3 linked regions of the Mytilus edulis genome follow. The protein of the gene in region 2 purifies or fractionates together with the protein of the main gene of each other region. This does not show direct contact. Links are inferred from orthologs where the notes say so. Each region holds a gene or a part of one and is shown on either strand. Other genes may lie near its edges.

The links.
Region 1: the proteins of prefoldin subunit 2-like (region 2) and prefoldin subunit 4-like purify together in Homo sapiens (affinity purification with mass spectrometry; 6 studies listed by BioGRID and IntAct, counting the BioPlex papers as one, with this or other methods). This does not show direct contact. The link is inferred for Mytilus edulis from reciprocal best matches to the Homo sapiens genes PFDN2 and PFDN4.
Region 3: the proteins of prefoldin subunit 2-like (region 2) and prefoldin subunit 1-like purify together in Homo sapiens (affinity purification with mass spectrometry; 5 studies listed by BioGRID and IntAct, counting the BioPlex papers as one, with this or other methods). This does not show direct contact. The link is inferred for Mytilus edulis from reciprocal best matches to the Homo sapiens genes PFDN2 and PFDN1.

The regions. Positions count from the first base shown.
Region 1 is NC_092348.1:53,645,657-53,652,695, reverse strand, and holds the start of prefoldin subunit 4-like, read right to left. Parts: upstream 3,006-7,039; 5' UTR 2,909-3,005; coding exon 2,885-2,908; intron 1-2,884. Other genes in the region: uncharacterized protein, read left to right, coding at 3,547-3,608, 4,107-4,231, 5,412-5,580, 5,941-6,046. UniProt on the Homo sapiens protein: Binds specifically to cytosolic chaperonin (c-CPN) and transfers target proteins to it. Binds to nascent polypeptide chain and promotes folding in an environment in which there are many competing pathways for nonnative proteins.
Region 2 is NC_092348.1:41,978,634-41,986,718, forward strand, and holds the start of prefoldin subunit 2-like, read right to left. Parts: upstream 3,057-8,085; 5' UTR 3,023-3,056; coding exon 2,898-3,022; intron 159-2,897; coding exon 35-158; intron 1-34. Other genes in the region: cylicin-1-like, read left to right, coding at 3,288-3,319, 5,144-5,225, 7,029-7,204. UniProt on the Homo sapiens protein: Binds specifically to cytosolic chaperonin (c-CPN) and transfers target proteins to it. Binds to nascent polypeptide chain and promotes folding in an environment in which there are many competing pathways for nonnative proteins.
Region 3 is NC_092352.1:51,877,442-51,885,254, reverse strand, and holds the start of prefoldin subunit 1-like, read right to left. Parts: upstream 3,003-7,813; 5' UTR 2,932-3,002; coding exon 2,887-2,931; intron 1-2,886. Other genes in the region: uncharacterized protein, read left to right, coding at 7,292-7,376. UniProt on the Homo sapiens protein: Binds specifically to cytosolic chaperonin (c-CPN) and transfers target proteins to it. Binds to nascent polypeptide chain and promotes folding in an environment in which there are many competing pathways for nonnative proteins.

The sequences.
Region 1 (7,039 bases), about 12 Mb from region 2:
GTCAATGTACGACCTTCAACACAGAGCCTTGGCTCACACCAAACAACAAGTTATAAAGGGCCCCAAAATTACTAGTGTAAAACCATTTAAACAGCCAAACCAACGGTCTAATCTATATAAAAAAAAAACGAGAAACAAAAAACCCGTATAAATTACATAAACAAACGACAACTACTGTACATCAGATTCCTGACTTAGGACAGGTGCAAACATTTGCACATATTGAGATTAATAACATCTGTTGCAATAATAGAAGCATATTTTTAGTTTTCAAATTTGTACAAGTTAAAACCATTTTTAAGCAATATTTTGTACAGGTTATAACATGTACGAGGTATTTTTGTACATGTTATAACTTGTATTTTTGCATTATACAAGTTATAACATGTACAATATTTTCGTACACGTTATAACCTGTACAAAATCGCAACTTGTACACGACATATACATGTAACAACAAATTAATGTATTTAAAAGATTTGAAAACCTAAAAGATTACTCACATTACACACAGGTAAATTTGCTCTTTCTGTTAGCTCTCTATTGTAAAAAAAAAAGAATGTCCCTCATAAGGGAGACAACTAAAGAAGTGATCTCTTATTACAGGGTCAATTACAGGATTTGGACTATTATGAATGTAACAATAACATGTGTGTCTATAGTAACCTTGTGTTATATATTGTTCATCAGGGATCTCCATGGATGAAAATTGAACGATGGAGGAACTTTAACCATAACAAACCGTGTCTCTGCTGTACAGTGTAGCGCGATCGGAAATATTTTATCCCTCCATACAAGGAATGGTGAACATGCTAATTCATTGCTTATTTAAATTATATTTATTTGAATTTTCATTATAGAATTAGAAGTACATTATCAATATTTTCATTTATTGCCGTTTTTAACCATTCAAATGCCAAGTCGTCATGGTCCCCTTAAGTTGAGAATGACCAAAAGCTGTCATGAAGGGCCCCATGTAGAATTCTTGTATTTTTGGTAATTGTTATGGGGGTTAAAAATCATATGATGTGGAGCTTATTTTTCATGGACAGTCAAATTCAGAACCCATTACCGGTATGGCTGATTTGCAGCAACAACAAAACGATTATGTAAAACGTTAAAGAGATTTGTAAAGCAAACGTTTACAAATGAAAAGGTTTTTAATGACTTTATCTGGCAAATTGATGCTGTGCAACATGCATCTTTCGAGTCTGAAATGAAACTGGAAACGCAGATGTATCAATTTGATTGTAATATACGAAATGAATTCGGAATTACGATACGATATTTCTTTACAGGAAATATTTAAGTTTTTACTTTTAAACTTTTAAAGTAATTCTAAATTATCGTTACAGCAGTACTAGAGTTATTTGCGATGAAATAATATTTACTGTTTTGCATCTTATTTTGTACTTCTTAAAAAGGGGGATGCTGATTGCGTAAGTCATAATAAAGCACGTGTTCGACTTGTTAAACTGTTTTCTTTGTAACTGGATTATTAATTTATTTATTTAATCTAAATTATCATAATCATTTGCTGAAACTTAGTTGATTAATTCGACAAATGGATCGTCTATCCTCAGATAGTATTCTCCTGTCTGGTTTGTTGATCTACCTGTACAAGCTCAGGTACAAAGTGATTAGCGATCTTAATCCGGATATCCCTCAGGCGTTAGAACTGTATTGGATTATAACATAAAAAGCCTAAGGGTAATGCAATTACATGCATTTGATTATAATTGATAAAAAAATGGCGTCGGGCTACAAAAAAACGATGAAGTTTTGAACGATAGCGCAAAACAATTTAACGATGGCGCGAGTCATTTGACAATGGCGCAAGACATTTGAACGATGGCGGGGCGCCATCGTTAAACAGGCCATGGAGACCCCTGGTTCATGTTATCATTGTTACGTTATGTTGTAGACCTGGAGATATTAAGATAGTCTGCTAGTTTAGTTAAGGAAGACCTTCTTTGGCTCAATCAATTGGTTAGAGCGCTGACTTTAGATCCTGAGATAGAGGGGTCGAATCCCACTGGTGCCATCCATGGATTTTCACAACAGGCGCTAGGAGCATCTGCTACTGGTACAAAAATTGTATATAGAATATGGCCTGGCAGTGAGATGTTAGAATTGGTCATGAGGTTTGACCAGCCGGTCATAGGATAACCATGGCAATTCTAGGTGGCATCTAGGGAACTGGCCAGAGGATTTCCAAGTAGAAGTCTTGAGGTTGTACAGTAGTTGGTCGGATGGATGGATGGTACGCAGCCCGAAAAAAGAAAAGTGGGAAGAGTGTTGTAGACCTGGAGATATAGTGGTATTCTAACTAGTTGAGTTAGGGAAGATCTTCTTTGGCTCAATTGGTTAGAGTGCTGCCTTTAGATCTCAAGATATAGGGGTCAAATCCCGCTGGAATCATCCATGATTTTCAAAAAAAAGTTAGATTTATTAAACTTTTACCTACTATGGTTTAACATTATATTTAATGACAAGACAAAAATTCATCATATGTTTATCCATAAAAATTGGGACAGAAAATATTTATTTCAAGAATAAAATTCACCAGAAGCATGGCACTGACAGGCATCATGGCATTGAAAGTTGCTAGCCTATAACTTCAAAGGGGATATATTATATTGCAGAGTGCTTTGTTTACAAAACTAACGTGCACGTTACAATACAACATCACTCGTCTGTGAATTGAAATGCAAATGAAAATAATTCACTCAAAATTTATATGTAAAAAATAAGCGATTATGAACCTGGATGATGAAAACTAACAAATCAGATAGGACGATGCATTAATTAAAACTACTGTTGTTACCAGAGACATAGAAAAACAATGGTTTGTATATGTCCTTATTCAATATTGATAAAATACCTTGGGTTTGTTTGGGCTTGCCATGACGAGTTGAGAATGTAGAGTAAAAAGGGTACGGGGGAGAGAAACGTGTAAAACTATATGTGTGTTTGCATGGTAAACTCGGACCAAAACTTTTTGGACCTTCTATATAGTCATACCGGACTGTCTATAATGGCAACTCAGACCACAGGGTCTCGGTTAGCAGATTAAAATTTTGTAAATCAATGTTTTTAATTTACTTTTTATTATTTCCTGTCTATTTGCATTACTTTATTAACGTTGCCATCACTATTTCTTTGTTTCAAGTCTGGCAATGTGCAGTTTACTATCCATATCCGTATACTGAAAACGCAACATGTTGTTCAACTATAAATTAAATTCAATGGCAAAAAAAAAATCATAAATTTGAATATGTTTAGAAGAAAAAAAAAACCAACAAAATTCCAAAATATAATTACGTAAATTCCGCTATAAAGAGTCACAGCATTTTATATTATTGTCCACCAACCAACCAAAATTCGCTTTATCTGTGACGTTCTTCCTTTGTTCCAACGTCCAACAAGAAGACGTCCTGTTTATGACGTTACCCTTTCCATCATACGGGCTATCTTTCCCTCACTACGAAGGAAAGTCAAGCAAGAAATTTCGGAGAAGCAGTCTTTTCAAAAGGAATCGAAGAAATGAGAATGGATTGTGTCTTTTTTCCAGATATTTACAGAATTACTTCTGTTGCACACAGAACGTGAGTTATATTTTATTGAAAATGTTTCACAATTATGTATAACTTAATTGCGTTGTCACTCTATCAACGCTAAATCCCTTTTTAAAGTTCCATATCAAAATACTTATTTCTGTGACTACAACTACGATCCTTTAAGATATAGTTCACGTTTTAAATAATAAGCAACAAATTCATCTAAATGCATAAAATATCATGTACTGTGTAACAACTCTAGATTATAATGAAATGAATAGGTAACACTAGGCCACCGAAAGCTAAACTCTTAATTCAGTCTAGGTGGCCGAATAGTCTAGAGTGCTAGCTACAATGCAGACGGTGTTGTCACAATATCCCAGTAGCATGTGTTCCCGACGAAGATAGAACAAACATTTGCTTTAGTAAATTTGCAGATTTAATAGTGTTGTACTGATATTTAGATTAGGACACATTTACGCATACAGCAAGTAAGTTGAACTTCATTAGATTAACTGATGTCAAGAATTGTTTTTTTTCCTCCAGAATTGACGTATTCGCTACAATTAGCGAAACCCTTGAGGTTAACTTAAATTCGGAAACTGCAGATTTCCCCGATCAACAAATACACAGCATCACGAAGAAACTGATGGCATACAGACAAAATATGGGTAAGACTATATGAAGATTAAAATTAAAAAAATCTATACCAGCAGAATGGATTCAAGTTGTCCAAAAAGAGAATTCTGTCAAAACTACAGTTAATATTCAGAGAAATAAAATCATATGGAAAAATAATTTAATCCAGACTACATCATTAACAAATAAAATGTTATATAACTCTTTGATAAGTATAAAACTAGAGTCGTCAATAGGGATAAACAGATGGCTTAGAATCCTACCAATACAAGAAACTCTTAATATGAATACATTGCACAAATTTATTTTTGAATATATGACTGAAAATAAATTAAAAATATTTAGATGGAAATTATTACATTATATTGTTCCAACTAAAAAACTGTTATTGCAGTGGAAAGTAACTAAGACAGATAAGTGTAATTTTTGTAAGCAAGAAGAAGATTATGCTCACTATTTTCTGAGGTGTAGATATTTGAATAAATTTTGGCAAAAAATCTATGAACTCTTTAAAAGAAGTAAAATAGATTTTGATATTAAATTGCGACATCTGGTATTTGGATATAAAATTACAGAAAGTAAATATTATTTTTGAATTATATACTAACAGTATTAAGTTTTTCTATTTATAAGTCATACTATGTATCCGAGCAGAGAACAAAAACTGTTGATGTCTTTAGTATTTTTGAAAATGAATTTAATAAAAGAATAGATGCATATAAGTCAAGATGTCCAATGTTATTGTTAATTAGAAAGAATTTTTAGCATTGATAAATCTCTGCATAAGACAACTATACATCCTTTAACAGGGCAAATCAAGAGAAGCTTGGACTCTTGGTGAAATTTGTAACAAGCAAGATTAGATGAATAAATATTATTATGTTGTTAAAAAAAAGACTATATGAAGATAGGCGAATAATATATATTTCGACATAAATAACATACATGTATTACAAAACTTGGAGAATCTTTCTTAGACATGAACTTCAACGCCTGTGAACCCAATAGAGTACATAACACCGTTCTGCAGTGTTCGTTGTTTCTTTATTGTTCTACGATCTTAAATGATAAGTTTTTTGTTATGATTTGATATGAAAAAATCAGAAAGCCACAAGAAACGGTTAAACATAACTTGCAATTATATTTTAGATATTAAATTTGCTAGCACATTCACTTGAGAGTGACGTAGATTATTTTCTTTTTTTCACCCAGAATTTCCTGAAATAAACAAGTTGTTTAATCTACTGACTGGAATGGTGTTGGGTGTTGTTGGAGCACACGAAACAACTTGCGAGAGTTATAAGAAGTCATTTACTGAAAGAATCCAGAACAAAATCGTCAAACTGGTTTCATCATCTGACAGCATTCTTCCAATTCCAACGTAAGTTGTTTGATTTTAAAATAGATTGTGTATTTTGTTTTGCTGTACATTTTCATGTCAAAAAGCGATTCCTTAACACGAAAAGCATCGATTTGTAAAATGCTCTTTCCTTAAAGTCAAAACAAACTCGATAACTTTTTATCAACGATCGGCCTGCTGGCAAAAGACTAGCGTATATCCAAACTATACAGTACACCATATTGGTAGCTTTTATGTATTCAAAACGTAAAGTGATGAAGGCTTGCGTGTCTCCGAAATATAAAGTAATGGTGTCAATATACTTGTGTTAATACACTTACTTAAAGCTTTACAGACAAGCAGCTAATAAATCGTAACAGTGGAATTCTATACATTTTTCAGATTTGATCAAATAAAAACCAGTGAATACTATGTCAAGGTCGATGAAATGAGCAAACTGCTGAGAACACATACATATATTTACAAAGAACTTCAGCGACAACAAGAGGTAATATTTTACAGCAAAAGACACGCGTGTGATAATAAAATAACATTTTTCACAAATCGGTGGTTCAATTTTATTATTTGTTCAAGATGTATATTTCATTTTTTTTTAGTTTCGAGATAAATTTTTGCACCGGTAACATATAATGCATTGGTTTTTAACGGTCAACGAAGCATATATTTTTCTCCAAACTCCAATACTATCAAAAACAAGAAACAAAGTACCGATTTTATATTATTTGCAGTTATCGAAAGCTATTATTCACAGCCAATAGTTTCAAAGACTAAAGGAGTAGGTCTGGTAAGGACCGATATTGGCCTCAAATTTCAGGTTTATCTGGCGAAAGATTTTGACCACTTTTTAAACACTTAAGTGTCTATTTCGTTTGATTCAATTAGTGTATGTGAAAGATTTTAACTGATTTAGTCATTAAAAACGATCTGATTCAAGCTCAAATATGAAAAATCTTCCAAATATGCCGAAAAATGTCACTTTTCAGATGGTTTTTGTCAAAAACAAAAGTGGCCGCATCCGTGTTCATCCACAACCTTTATATATGTTATGTATTATCATCAAATACAACTTACATTTCAATATTAAGGATGAACACGAATGCGGCCACTTTCGTTTTACACGGAAACCGTCTAAAATTTAACTAAAATGCTAGAATTGTGGAGGTTTCAGTAATTTAGCATGACTTACTGGTGTTACTACCCGATATATGTGCATTGTATTGTCAAAAACAGTCCATATTTATGTAGCAGAAGCATTCTTCTGTCCAATAAATAACTAAAAGTTACATTTTAATAATTTTGTAAAACTGCTATATTTTGGGGCCAAAAAGGGGTCTTACTGGACCTACTCCTTTTCATTCAGCCCTAATCGAAAAGACTCCATGCATTAACAGTCAAAGAACACCATGACGCCATTGGGAAAGCTATATATGGACATTTTCTCTCTTATCTTTAATGTTAGCACATCTGTTTTTTAGCTAGC
Region 2 (8,085 bases):
AATGTACCCACTACATGTATATGTATACACTCACCTGTTCTTTATGATTAGTTAATGCAGGTAATACACCTTCTACTGTATGTTCTACTAACACACCTCCTACCATCCTAAAACATTTTCTACTAGATTCTGTTTCTTTTAATGTATCTATAACTATTCTGAAAAAAAAATATTAATAAATATTTAAATATTTTATTGAATAAATTCTAATCAAATTTTTGTTGTATTATTGTATTAAACATACATATATTACTTGAAGAATGTGCTTCAATCACAGAATATATTCACCTGCCAACTGTCACTATTTGCAGGGGATTTCCCCCATGGAGGCTTTGAATTGGAAATTTTGAAATAGCAATTTCTCCACAATTTCACACAAAACAATCATTTTTACCATTGGTATAGCATTTAAAAAGCATAAAGGAGCAAATTAACAACATTAAAATAAATTTGAAGGCCCCTTTAAGTGAGTCTCATTCGGGTCTAAGCATGACACAGGATTGGCTGATTTTTTCAAGCGTGATAAATGCAAGTTAAATAATCAAGTATAAAAACAGGAAATAGTCTGACAGGACATGGGAAATTACATGCGATATTATGGCAATGAGAAGCGGGATACTGGATTCTCACTAAACAATAAGCAGACCAAGATATCAGACCACCCTTAGGCCTTTAAAGTTTTTGTAGGACTATGACCTCCTTCTTGCACGTAAAACCCTGATGGGCATTTTGAAATGTTGGCAGGTTTGCTTGTCGCTAATTAGTGAGTCCCTTATAAGTATTAACTACTTTAAATGTACATTTGTAGGTGACCCAAATAATCAAGTCATTATTTCACTCTCTTCTCTGCAGTGCCAGTGGAGAACGAATTAGGGTCTGTTCCCCCTGATTCACATTCGCCATGATACCTGTTCGCCCAGGGTCCATTCACCCTGATTTTCATTTTTTTCTAATTTTTTCTCCTAAACCGAATAAACCAGTCATTATATTCCGACTCACTATCGATCGCTACATTGAAAGGACACTGACCGATAGAGGGCGCTGAATCATTCGAGTTAGTTGTCTACTCGCATAATTTTAAGTATTTGAACAAAATATGTTACATATTTTACCATTTATTATGTATAACAGCCAGTATTACGTTTACCCTGTTGTATTATGAGATTACTTTTCCTTGTGTTTTAGAACAATAATATATTTATCTTATAATTTGTTTTTTTAAAACTCTCTTTGTACAATATATTTTATTTAGTGTATTGCCTCACCTCTGCTGGTGGACTATTAGTCCTCGAGGGCATCACCAGCCCAGTAGCCAGTACTTCGGTACTGGCATGAAAATACTGATTTTTTGTGTTATTAAAATTTGCTGTTACAAAATGATAGAAATTATTATCAATTAAGGAATGTATCTCCCTCATGCAAAGCTCTGATTTCTTTCACAGATTTAGCTATAATTTTTGGACCTTTTGGATTATAGCTCTTCATCTTTTATATAAGCTTTGGATTTCAAATATTTTGGCCAAGAACATCACTGAAGAGACATGTATTGTCGAAATGCGCATCTGGTGCAAGAAAATTGGTACCGTTAATTTTATTAATGATATTTATCATGTTTATGCATACTAATTAAAGATTAAAATAAATTAATGACTATCTTGTGTTTTCAACAGGTGTTCACTATTTACAATGATTGTATATTCTGGCGCATGTCACTGTGATTGTATAGTACGTACGCAGAGCAAACATGTTATTAGGGCGAACAGACGAATTACAGTTATCCCGTACCATTGTAAACTCGTACCAACGTCAACTCGTACCACTTTAAAAAATCTCGTACCAATGCAAACTCGTACCACTGCTAACTCGTAACAACTTAAATGCATTTAAATGGGTTTTGATGATGTATATTATTTACTTTCACTCAATACCTCTCAGGAGGTCTGTAAAATGTATATAATTTGAAAGTACAATGACTAATTTGTAGCTAATCATGTCCCTGTCTATTAGATAGAAAATACCGTGGCAGATTTGCTTTGCTGTCGCCTTTGACTCTTTTTCAAAACTTTTACTGATAATTATTGAATTTACTTTTTAATCCTTCCAAATTAATTCTTCATGAAAAAATCCTAGCAGTTAATCAAAATGATTTCAAAAATGAAATTCTTACTATTTATAAATAACAAGTTACAATGAAATGTAACTGTTTCCTGTTCCCGAATTTTCCCGCCAAAAAGCACATGGCTTTCAACAATCGTAAACATAGCATTCGATTTGTGATCATGGATTACAGCATAAATTGATTTAATTTGGATAATTTGGATATAGATATTCAACTTAAGGTACAGTTAAAGCAATGTTTTACTTTTACTTTCTTCTGGATTATAACTACTTTGAAAGATCAGCTTAAAGCTGGGGCTTAAAAAATAAAGCTTTTTTATTCGTATTTTTGTCTATTAAAATCCAGTATAAAATTCAAGTAATTCAACATTATTTTTATAAAGTTTACAAAAAAATACCATAAAATATTCGTAATTTTTAATATATTTTTGATGGTACGAGTTTGCAGTGGTACGACTTCCCAGTGGTACGAGTTCACTTTTTTGGTACGAGTTAACATGGTACGAGTTAACTTGCTTCCGAACAGACCTGTTACCTGGGGAACAATGACCGAAAGGAGAGCTGTGATTATTTGAGTTATCGATTTTATTAGATCTTTGGACAAGAAACTTAGTTTTCATTTGATATCAGTAACTTGATAACACAAGATTTTGTGATGACAGTTACTACCAAGTGTAAACATCATCTCCATGCAGTTCTAAAAAAAAGTTGTCTCCCCCTTTTCATCTAAACACGTGGTTAAAATACAAGTTATATAGAAATAATTATGGAGAACTAACTCGTGTTCCTTTAAATCTCCATTAAGCTCTGATATTTTGCCAGCAACAGCTCTTTGTTGTTGTCTTAATTCCTGAAAACCAGCAACTATTTGCTCCTGTGTTTTGCCTTTTCCTTTCGCAGCCATTTTAATGCTCGTCGTCTAAGAAAACGAAAAGTGAACACATAAACCAATATTTGGAATTGAATTTGGTATTTTTTAATTAATTTGTATTGAAAAGCCAGGTTCAATATTATTTTAGAATTTTAATCACACCTATGAAGAACTGGCGAAAAGAATTACAAAAACATATTGTTCGTTTTACAATAAGATTTGGAATTTTTATAAATCCTCACTTTGTTTACAGATGGCGGCGAAGTAGAGAGATGTTCAAACTAGAAATCGACTTGTCATGATTTCTCAGCCGAGGCCAACTCCAAAAAGGTTTAGGCATACCATTTTGCATTGAATAACTTTTAAAAGCATCTCTCATCACAAGCACAACACTACTGTTTTTAAAATATTTCATTTTATAATCTTGTTGAAACTTGTCTTGTGTGTCACTTTTAGTTTCAGAGAAAATATTAAAGATTCTCAAAATGTCAAAAATAAATGTTAATGATTTAAGTATCCTGACAAGTCACGTTTTTCATTTTTTTTTTTAAGGAATTTATTCTACCATCTTTGTAATATGAATGCAATACACCTTAATGCTAATTGTCCACCATAATCACTGGACATCAAAAAAGTTCCCATAAAAATAATAGAAAATATCTGACGCCACAATGGAAAAGTGATTGTTGTATGACAACAAAAGTACAAGTGGGTCAGATCCTGGGGTCAACATGGTCAATGGCAGCCCTCAATTTAGTCTACTGAAGTGGTCGCCTGGGTGACTTTTTAAAAGCTGATTGGCGACCAAAAATTCATAACTTGTCGCCATACACCTAATCGCTATTTGTCAGCCATTACAGGATATCACTCAGGTCCCCAACTCCCCATAAAGTTTTGACACCATGAACGAAATGTCTGACGCCACAATAGAAAAGTGATTGTGTATGACGTCAAAAGTTCAAGCCCCCGGGTCAGCCAGGATTAGCGATATAAAGGTGTATTAAAGCTTTTAGAATATTGAAAATCTGTCAAATGGTAAATTTTCTGAAATTTTGCCTTGATCGGAGCTGAGTTTTAAAAACCGTCTGAGTGCTTGACATGTAACACAAATGAATACAATATTTCAAGTGCCTTTTAGAATTATGCTGGACATTGTCAGCGCTTTATTGCATCAGGTAATTGTAGATCATTTTCGTTGACTGAAAATGGCTCAGATCTATCTAATGATCTATCTTCATATTTCCACACTCAGTTACAACTTTGACAATTGCATGCCATTTAAAAGAAAACCATTGGCATTTTTAGATTGTGTTTATTGAAATTAAAGCACATGGTAGAGCAGTGTCTCGATTTCGTCAGTAAACATGGTAAATGGATTGAAACAATGTCCCCGACCAATGGGGAAATCAATAGTGCTTAGAAACTGCACAAGTCCAGTGAGATTTTTACTAGACTGGAGCTTCAGACTACCGGTTAACCTTGCAGACTGTTTTAAAACATGTACAACGAATATAAAATTAAATAAATCATGTAGTTAATGTACAGTTGATTTATATAAACTATTTTCTACACTAGAACGCAAAAATCACTGAACAGAAACTTAATCATGTTAATACTCTTATTTCACAAGCCTGGTTGTTTAGATAGAGAAAAATGCAAGCATTCTGAAATTATTGCCTTATCACTGAAATTTTGCATTTGCCACTAAATTTTCATGTCTGGTGACCATTTGGCAACTACATTTCAAAGGCTACTTTGAGGGCTGAATCAGAAAAGACTTAAAAATAGTGATAAGGTGTATTTGCCATTATTTGGGAACTGTGACGTTATGTTCTACATGTATTTTGCTAATTATCATGATTATAGGAGTAATGAAGACCATCTACAAAAACGACAACTCTTGTCAATTTGGACATTTTGATTCGCCTTCATAGCTAACTCTTACTCACAAAGTATATTATAGGGGCATTAGTTACCATTGGCAGGTCTAGATTTGTTTTATTGTTAAACCATACTACATAAAGAGTGGGTGTAACACCTTGTACAAATAGGGGTATTTTAGTCCAGTCATGCCAGTTATTAATTGTAATAGGAAGTATGCATTAATCAATGATAGTGTACTTACCGTTCTTTTATATTTTTTTTATTATACAGAGATCCTTTCTATGTAGATCCACCTCCTAAAGCACATTACCATCCATCAGAAAAGAAAAATCTCTCAGAAAAACAGAAAAAGGTAGGAATAATCATGTACTTGTATTCAGTTTTAATATTTAAAGGAAGAAAAGTCTAATGAACAAAAAGTGTGACCAAAATGATTAATGAAAATTTCAGTCTGCACCAAAAACTTCAACTACTGGGGTCTGAAGACCAATATTCTGACATTTTTCTTATTGAGCCAAACAAAGTTTTGCAAAAACTTACTAGTCCGAACAAAATTTTCGTAGTCTGGGGCATATGACTAGTGGAACCGTGCAGACTGAAACATAAGATTAAAGAATACTACAATAAATTTGGAAAAATGATAATTAGATGGAATAAATTTTTCCTAAACAGAAGATAAGTGGGTATAAGATTGGAGATTTTTGTCTGCCTCCATATAACATGTATAAGTATGTTTATGATTAAGCACTTAAGATTTTCTAATAATATTATGTAAATAATTTATCAATATTTGCATTTGTTAGAGAGCATTTATATGTAATGTTATAAGTGATTTAGGTTTTATATATTTTACAGGGAAAGACCTAAATCAGGGCAATGGATTTAAGTTCAGAGTTTTTGTCCTATTGTGTAATTTTCCATAACTTTAGTATTGTCTGTTACATGTAGATCAGTATATTATTATATATATTTATTTAGTATACCTTTTTACAATTTATAAATTCTATTACATGTATTTGTACAACTACATGTAAGTGATGCATGAGTGTGTATCATATTTGTATTTACTTGTAATATAAAGGGGTAATAAACACTTAAAGAATGAATACTTTGGGATATCATATTTGGAAATAAGGCAATGAACCAACAACACATAAAAAACAAAATACAATGTGAACCATTTGAGGTTAACTCATGGTTCATTAAGTTGCATGTGTCATGTGTCTGTAACAGGCTAAGATATATGATTGCATGACTAAAACTAAATGTGAATAAAACAGAGACAAGCAAAAATCTCCCACCAACTACACACTACCCTTATCACAAAGTGACATACATGTATTAAAGATATAACACGATTGATGGATGGATGAACATACATGTTGTTTTTAACATCCAGTTGCAAATATTACATGAATATCAGGACCAGAACATGTTTATGATTATAATTTGAATATGAAACCTTTGCACAAGACTGGCATACTGAGCTGCATTTTCAGATGCTAGTCTACAGAAAGAAATGTCTCCCATGACAACAGACACTTAAGGCAGGATATAGCCCTTTGCGGCGTTTAGACATAAGTTGACCAAATTCCTGATTAAGAACAGACAAAACTCATTTTCATACTCTTAATGATAAGTAAGAAAAATATGCAATTTGATGATTAGCACTTATTTTTCTAGGAATTGAAATTATATATTTTTAGTGATGCATGAATTTATATTCAGTTGTTTACATAAACATTTTGAGATAATACATTTTGATTAGGATATAGTGTTCTTATGTAACTTGTAAGGAGTAGTAATCAAAGGATTTTGGCAAACAAAATATGTGGGATTAATTTAGAGTTTAAAATAATAATCTTGACTTGAACTATAATGTATCTTTATTCTGTTGTTTACAAAAAATATCATTTAAGGATGGTTATTTTTTTAGAAAAGATATAAATTATATATGCAGCTGCAGAAGAATGAAAAAAAGGTTTAGTTTTGCAGCAACCTTTACCTTTTTTAATTTCATGTTTAACATTTATAAGTACAGGTTGTTATTATATATGAAAAAGTTCCAATTGAAATGAAAGCTCATATATATATGTTATTGTTGATACTGGTTTAATACAAAGTAATATAATTTGTGTTGTATTTTTACTTTTAGACATCTATCAGTCCAATTAGATCAAGTACCAGAAAACGGAATGAAGACGAAAGACTAAGTTATAACGATGAACTTTTTTTAAAGGGAGGTAACTCATTCACACCGAAAGCTAACCAGGATGAATCTGGTTCTTCACATTTTGATGAATCATGGCCAAGTACAGATAGGCCACTAAGGTAAAATATTTGGTGTATAATAATGGTGAACAAAGATGTATATAACACTGATCACAGTCACACAGGAAGCTGAAGTAGACAAGATTAAAAAATAGACAGAAATATATATAAACTTCAGTATCAAAATAAACCTGATTTTAAATTTATTGAAATACAAGAACATTATTACATAATTGAAGATATATCCTGCTGTGTTCTAAACTGACAGAGTAAGATTTTTAATATTAAATGTATTAACTAGTTCTAAACGGCACAAATATCTTTAACAACTTCAATGCTTTTTTTCATTATTTTTTCTCATCAAAAAACGATTAAATTTTGGAATGAAATGATACTCACTGGACTCTGCTGTCATATTTTTGCTGAATATTTTGCATCTAAATTTAAGTTTGTAATGTACAATATTTCAGTATAACAGATTTAAATTTAAGTTTGTAATGTACAATATTTCAGTATAACAGATCTAAATTTAAGTTTGTAATGTACAATATTTCGGTATAACAGATTTAAATTTAAGTTTGTAATGTACAATATTTCAGTATATCAGATCTAAAGTTAAGTTTGTAATGTACAATATTTCAGTATATCAGATCTAAAATTAAGTTTGTAATGTACAATATTTCAGTATAACAGATTTCAATTTAAGTTTGTAATGTACAATATTTCAGTATAACAGATTTAAATTTAAGTTTGTATTGTACAATATTTCAGTATAACAGATCTAAATTTAAGTTTGTAATGTACAATATTTCAGTATAACAGATTTAAATTTAAGTTTGTAATGTACAATATTTCAGTATAACAGATTTAAATTTAAGTTTGTAATGTACAATATTTCAGTATAACAGATCTAAATTTAAGTTTTTAAGTACAATATTTCA
Region 3 (7,813 bases), on a different chromosome or scaffold from region 2:
GCAGATAAGCATTTGTAATCAATATTTTTACTAAAAATGAGATTATAGCTGGAGTGGGCACGGGTGGGCTGTCCACGTGGGCCGGTGGAAAAAGCAAAATCCACCCGAGCTGTGTATGTTTGGCCTCGTTGAAGCTAACAATGTAAATGACACACAGGGTATACACGTGGGAACAGATTCCTACCCCTCTTTTAAAGTTGTAAAAACACTGCAAATTGATGCTAAGCAGCGGTTTAATGATTTTTCGAGGGGTAATACCCTTGCAACCTCTCTATATAGATGTGTTTTGATGTTTAACAGAATTTAATCTTGCAGAGTGGGGTTCTGACAATATTAAAATTCAAAATTTTGAGAAGAGTGAGAATGCGAAATATTTGCCTTATTAAATCTATGGAAAAAATTGTAGATTAATAGGACATGATTTTTTTTCCTTCTCTAGTATAAACTGTTGTGGGACCAGCCAGAGAAATATTAAAGAATAAAAGTAGACATGGTGCCGGGGCAGATTCATTTATAAATGTCAGAACATGAATCATACACCATGTCTGCCTACTGGGGAAAGCTTTCTATTTTTCGTTACACATTGTCTGCCCCCTTGCCGTCATTAACTCAAACAGTCAAATGCTCAAAAGTATTAACATCCGTTTATGTTGCGTCCTGAGAACAATTTTTTACAACAAAAGCTGGATTGACTTTAGCAGTAAATTGATCTCATTTTACTCTTTAATAAATTATTTGTCAATTTAATAACCGGTAGAATTAGATACAGTCTGTCCATCCTGAAACGATTCTGACTGTTGGTCGTCTTGTACCTGTGCAAAGAAGTTGAGCAAAATGCGCCAACTTCGTATTTTTTTCGTCTATAGGTCCATCATGGTGTTCTTCAAAAAGATTCATCATATCGTAATTATCCGGAATTAATATCATTATATTTTGTAACCATGTGATCACATTTCGCATATTTGACAGCTAATACGCAGCACGGTTTACGGAAAAGCCATGCTTGTTTATTTAAAATCTTGGTTCTTGAAACGCTTTACTTGTCCATATTGGTCCAAGCTATCAAACATTTTGAAGATCTGTAGTTTTCTAAATGAAAAGTAGGATCCAGACAGACCGAATAATCCGGATTTTTAATAAAAAAAATTGTTTTTGTCAATAAAAAGTTTAGGGTCAGCATCAAAAACGGAGGTAGGGTCGGGAAACCGGACACACACTATTAAATTATTTTGGCCTTACTTTGATACTGTCCACTCACTGACTCAGATAAACTCTTTAACTCACCTAAAGTTATGAAGATACCAGTGGCGGATCTAGAAATTTTCATAAGTGGGGGCCCGCTGGCTGCCTAAGAGGGGGCCCGCTCCCGTCACGCTTCAGTGATTCCCTATATAATCAACCAAATTTTTTTCTCAAAAGTAGGGGCCTGTGCCCCCTGCCCCCCCCCCCCCCCTAAATCCGCCTCTGGATACCTCTTGTCCATGTCAATTAATGACAATCAAAACAATACAAACCGGTTATTTTACCTGAGGAAGCATCTCATAGTTATACCACAACTTAGTTGATTTTCACACCTTTTGCATGAAGGAAAAAAAATGCCCATCAAAATCCAAGAGATTTTATCTTTCTGAAACACAAAATGCATTTAACTTTTTTTATATCTAGTGGATGCCAGGCAAACTTTTCCAACTTCACAGGTAAGTCTGTACTCAGAGTAATTTTTGGCATGTAAATACAGCCATATTTGTTCGTTTGTTATGATGAACCTTAAACTATGTGAAGATTATCCTACCGTAGTCTAAAATCGTTCATCTTGTCAGTTCGTTAGGTATTTGTGTTTGAACTTAACACACAGGGAAACTCCGCAATGATGTCACTACGGTACTTCTGGCGTAGAAAAACAGTGCAAAATACGTTTTTTTCTGCACTTTTGAATAAAAAAACATTTTTAAAGGTAAGTTTTCATTGTTGTTTTCAATTATTGCCAAAAAATGCCAATTTTCTAATGCCCGTTTCAATCCCAACTTCCGAATATTTAAAAACATTCTAGAACTTCACAAAATCCCATTTCCGGCCTCCATTGCTTTGTGTACATTCCATTCAGCGTCATCAATCCTGTGGCAGGCAATACAGGTCAAGCAAATCGTATTTTTAGGATTTTAAAAATGACATGCTCCTTACCTCTTTCTCGATTTTCCCGCGAAAAAAGCCCAACCAAAATGAAAGGAAAACTATATGAAAAAACGATGTCAATGCCATAATTTTGAACAGGCATATAGAGTTGGTTAATAAGAAACAATTTACATTTATTTTTCATAGAATTTTCTTTTTATTCATTATCAAAAGATAGATATTCTGACCATCATGACTGTAGGTAAATATTCATACAAAATTCCCTTGATGTCAAAAGAGATGGCAAAAAAAAGAGTTTTCCTGTTGAATAAAACCCAGAACTATTGCAAACTATTTTGAAGCAATATCCCAGAAAGAAATAACGTAATTTGCCGTAGACTGAAAAATCCGCTAATTGACAGTAGAGCAATTTGATTGGATATAACGAATTGACATCACGTGATTTTGACGCTATTGAAATTTTAATGTAAACAAACAAGGTCAGAAGGTTCCGTATGGGACATCATTGTACATTTATTTACTGACAAACAATTACGAGTTATCAAGCTTGCCAATGCATGGTTATAAAAAAATAAAGCTAAGTCTACAGAAAAAATAAGAAAAAAATAGCCTTAGTATAACGACTTATCATTACACCTGGATACATAACCGAAAACAGCTCTGTCTATAATCTTAAAGTTTTGAAAAGAAAAAACATCTATTCTTAAACTATGTGACAGCAATCTAGAATAACTAAAAGAGTTCTTTAAAAACCTTTTTAAGCTCCATGTCAACGGGCATTCCTGCTTTTGCTGCCATTCTGTTATTTGATCAATGTGTAAAGAACGCATGGTTTTGTTATCAATATAAAGTGTATTACAAACGCATGACTAACTGCAATATTCGAAAGATCTCGAACCATAGAAAGTAAGTCTTACTACCCTAAACAATTCATTACAACAACGCACTGCAACGAAATGGTTAAAATAGTTCAACACTTGTAACCAAGGATTTCAGTGTATAGTAATATACAAATCCTTGTTGTAACGAATTAAAAAAAAAAACACCGTGGGATCATCCCCCAAACCACGCCATATGATCCCTTAAAAGGTTAGAATAACAGGGTATCAGGTCCGTTCGCGCCCAATATACTTTCGCACCCTACACGTTCGCACATCGCACGTTCGCACCCAAGGTCCGTTCGCACTCTACACGTTCGCGCCCAATTTTAATTCAAATACCAGTTGAATAATTGGAAAATCATGATTATTGTTTTTAATTGCTTTCGTGTAAATACTGAATGTATTTATAGCTTGGTATGAGTAAAAATTTGAATATTTTAGATCATTTTGAGTAAAAATTTGAATATTTTAGATCATTTTAAATGAAAAACACAAAAGATAATTGTTTTTAACAGCTTGGTCCCTTTGATCTGAAACAATGAAACAATAAAATATAACAATACACTATTATAACCAAAACATGATAAAATTTATTCAACACACAAAAAAAAAAAACGTAGTCAGAATCTCACTTCATTTTGAAACAAGTTAATGAAACAAAGTTATAGCAATTAATACGCTAACCAAAAAATGATTAAGAGTTATTCAACACAAAATAAAACGTTGACAGAATCCCACTTTATTTAGAAAAGAATATTTTTTATTTTTTAACCATACACTATCCAAAACATGATTAAGATTTATTCAACACCAAAAAAAAATGCTGTCTCACTTTATTTTGAGACAACGAAAACAATTATACTTATAAGAATACTACTTGCCAAAACATGATTACAAAGTTATTAAACTCAAAACCAATTAAAATTGGGCGCGAACATGTAGGGTGCGAACGGACTTTGGGTGCGAACATGTAGGGTGCGAAAGTGAAAGGGGGCGAACATGAGTGGGTGCGAACGTGAATGGGCGCGAACAGACCCGGATTCGAATAACAGATACACTTAAGATGTCACTACTAAATGTAACTGTTCTTATTGTAATAAATTATTATAGTAGATCCGTATTAGCAGGAACAGATATACCGCTGTTCCCAGATATAAGCTAAAACTTGTAGAAACTCTTTATTTATTTCAGTTGGTAAATGATCTAAAAATCATCTTTATAGTGTTTATATCATAAACTAAAGTATAAATGAAATTACCAGTGTCAATGAAAACAGCATGTCCATGCCTTTTAGTATATCGTATAAAAAGTTCCCATTTGCACATAACATTCATGAAACAATGAATGTGAATTGTTTTCTTCAATACTCCAACGTTAGACTAGTTGATGTCCATATGGTCTTTTTAAAATTAGGTAATACAGTACCAACTGGTCTACTGATTAGCTATAGATTAGTGTAGGTTACACTTTTGTGGCATATATATGCTCTGACAATAGCTATGAACCAGCTTAACGTGTCCAATATGAAGATAAGGAGATGCAGTCTGATTGCCAAATGAGACAATTATCCATCAAAATGCAAATAAAGTGAATTTAAGAAATTATAGGCAATCATACGGCCTATAGTAGCTGTTTAAAGACAAAAGTTAAAAATATTTTTTTTATTAACAAAATAGCAATTTTAATTCGGTTCAAACATCATATATTGATTAATATTGTCGAAAGACATCCAAGTAAAAAGGGCTCATTGTTGAAGGCCGTATGCCTGCCTATATGGTTTTAACCAATAAAAATTACCGTAATCTTTTCCAAAATATTCTATAGAAACCTCAATAAAAAAAATAATGGTGCTTTGAAATACCAAAAATATATGTTGATGACCCAGACATTTACTATTTACTGCAATGAAATATAGGTTGAATTACCTTCAACTGTCAAATTCAAGGGAATATGTTTTTCTACCCTTTTTCGAATGCAACCGGATGTACTATGATTTGGTGGTATTACAGCGGTATGCGATGCAAAACTTTTGCAGTCAATGAACTATCGTTCAGGGGGCGAAACTTTAATATATCCATAAAAATATGCCAATGCTGATACAAAAACATACTATAATAATATATCACTTTGCTTATCGCTATTGGTCTTCATTTAAAAAGAAAACTTACTTTATCACAAATTAAAAAAGAAAAACAAGTTGAAGCCGCTGACACCACCGCAACATGCGCAAACAGCATGCCTAACTTTTATATCTTGACAATCTATATATTTAATGTATTTTTAGTTGCATGTTGCAATTTATCGAGATCTGCATTTGATAGGTAAAAATGTGGAATGTAAGATCATAAGTTTTAAGTTGTGAACTAGAAATCGTTTTTCTTTTTCTTTACTTAAAGTAAGTTTTATTTTCCAGAGATCATCTATATGACTTCCCTGAAAAAAATAATCGTGTTTATATCTAAACACATTTCTAAGTAAACACATTAAATAAAAATTTAGTAACAATAAACAAAAGGACTATGCGATTTGGACAGGCTTTGATACTATAACTGCCCTTGAATTTTTACTAGATAAAATTTGTGTTCGCTTTAGACAAGACAAGGCAAGACAAGACAATTTATTTCAACTTAGGCACACGTATGGTGCTACAAGAGGATAACAATTGTACATTAACAATTACATAAATATGGAGATTCTGTATCTCGTCAAGTTATCGACATTGCAATGGGGACTTATTGTGCACCACTTATTGCGTACGTGTTTCTGTATTGTTATGAGTTAGAATTCATGGATTCAAATCAGCAAAGACCCTACAAAACAACATAATTTATGATACAAGAAGAAAAAGAAGAAGAAGAATTTTACAAATATAATAAACAATACAATAAACATAATTAAAAACACAAATAATATTGGCTCTCAATAATGACGACTTCAGTATACATGTATACACTAAAGATATTAATCCTATTGACTAACTTTAAATAAATCGAATACTACGGTAGTACCAATGAGCACTGCCCTTTCCTGGATCTTGATTTCTATAAATTAACATTAACGGGAATCTTATAAAACCAAAGATTATGATAAAAGAGATGAAATATCCATTTTTAGAAGATGACGTTCCGTTGTCACCATTTTATAGTGTTAATATTTCTCAATATGTTCGATTCGCTCATCACGGTATGTGACAACGTAATAGATTTTAACGAAAGCTCGACAATCCTCACATTTTTGCCTGCTTTTAAAGCTCGATAAGGTGGCACGGTAGTATTTCCTGGCCCATAAGGGATAATGATAGCCTTTTTAGAATTTTCACCACTTTCTAACACTGCAAAAAATTCTACATTCACAGTTAACTGAAGTACTTTCATTTTACTATTCAGAAATGAATTTGAAAATGTATCATGACCGTTTACTTTTTTTGCTATTTTAAAAAACCTAAGGCCACTAGTACTTTTAGGTATTTTATGGTGCAGTGAATACAAAATTAAAAAAAATTCTCAAAAATTCATTTTCATCTGTATGTAAAATTATTTCATATTTTTCTACACCTGATTCATCCCTCAGTTTGGGAAAGTATGTTCAGTTGATACTGTATTTGTCCAATCACACTGTTTAGATACATTTACCTAAGTAGGCCGGAGACTTTTTTTTGTTGTTGATTGGTTGTATTTCTTATGCATTAAGAGACACACGGAAGGAGGACAACGGAGTTGGCGTACGTGGGTTCGATTCCCACCCTAGGCTTTTTTTCAAAGTACGGCTGGTGCAAAGCGGGCAGATTAGCTTAGTGGCCCCGCGTCGACTCTGTTGCCGGGTACACAAAAGAGCAACCTAAATTCTGGAATGCAAATACTACCGTGCCACCATAAACCTCACAATACATCCTTGTTTTAAAGCTTGACAAGCCTCAATTTTCTTCCTGCGTTTCAAGCTAGGCAATCCTCACTTTTCTTCTTTTTTTGACGCTGGACAAGCCTTACATTTTTCCTGCTTTTAAAGCTCGACAAGCCTCACATTTCTTCCTGCTTTTAAAGCTCGACAAATATCACATTCTCCCATTCTTTGAAAGTTTGTATACATATTTAAGTTTAGCCGATCTTATAGATATGATTATATTTATTACTCTATCATATCGTATTTGATTATTATACCTCATAAAAATGTATCTAAGTGTTATCGACCCATGACTTAACTGATTGTCATGTTTTCATTAGTGTTTTTATAACTTCCTTTTAAAAATATATACATTCTAGTGTAGGACTAAAAGATTCATGTCGAATATGATTACATTTGTAGGTTTATGCATGGTCCTTCTTTGCCTCATTGAAAGTAGAAAGTCTGTAGCACAGGATTTCAGTACGTATATTGTTTGTTTTTTTTGTATTGTATTTGTTTTATATTTTTATTTCAAGTTTTAAACATTATCATAATATTGGATGAGAAGACTTCCATTTGAAAATTCTTGATTGACATATGAGGAAGAACACACATTTTCTCGAGGGATTCAATTCAGTAAGGTCTTGCCTTAAACATAAATGTGACAATTTTGCCCACTATTTGACACACAAACAAGTACAGTAGTACTAACATTTACTAGTGTTATGGAACTATAATATTTGTTTTTATAAGGAGAACATTTAAGTGTGCTACTATGTAATCCATTAAAATATAACTTAATATCGCTTTGTAATACGTTTTTGGGGATTTTCATCCTCGTCACAAATGAGGAGTGTGACAGTACTCCTATATCTTCTCTTAAGCATAATGCATCCTAGTCCGAGATTACTGTCGTC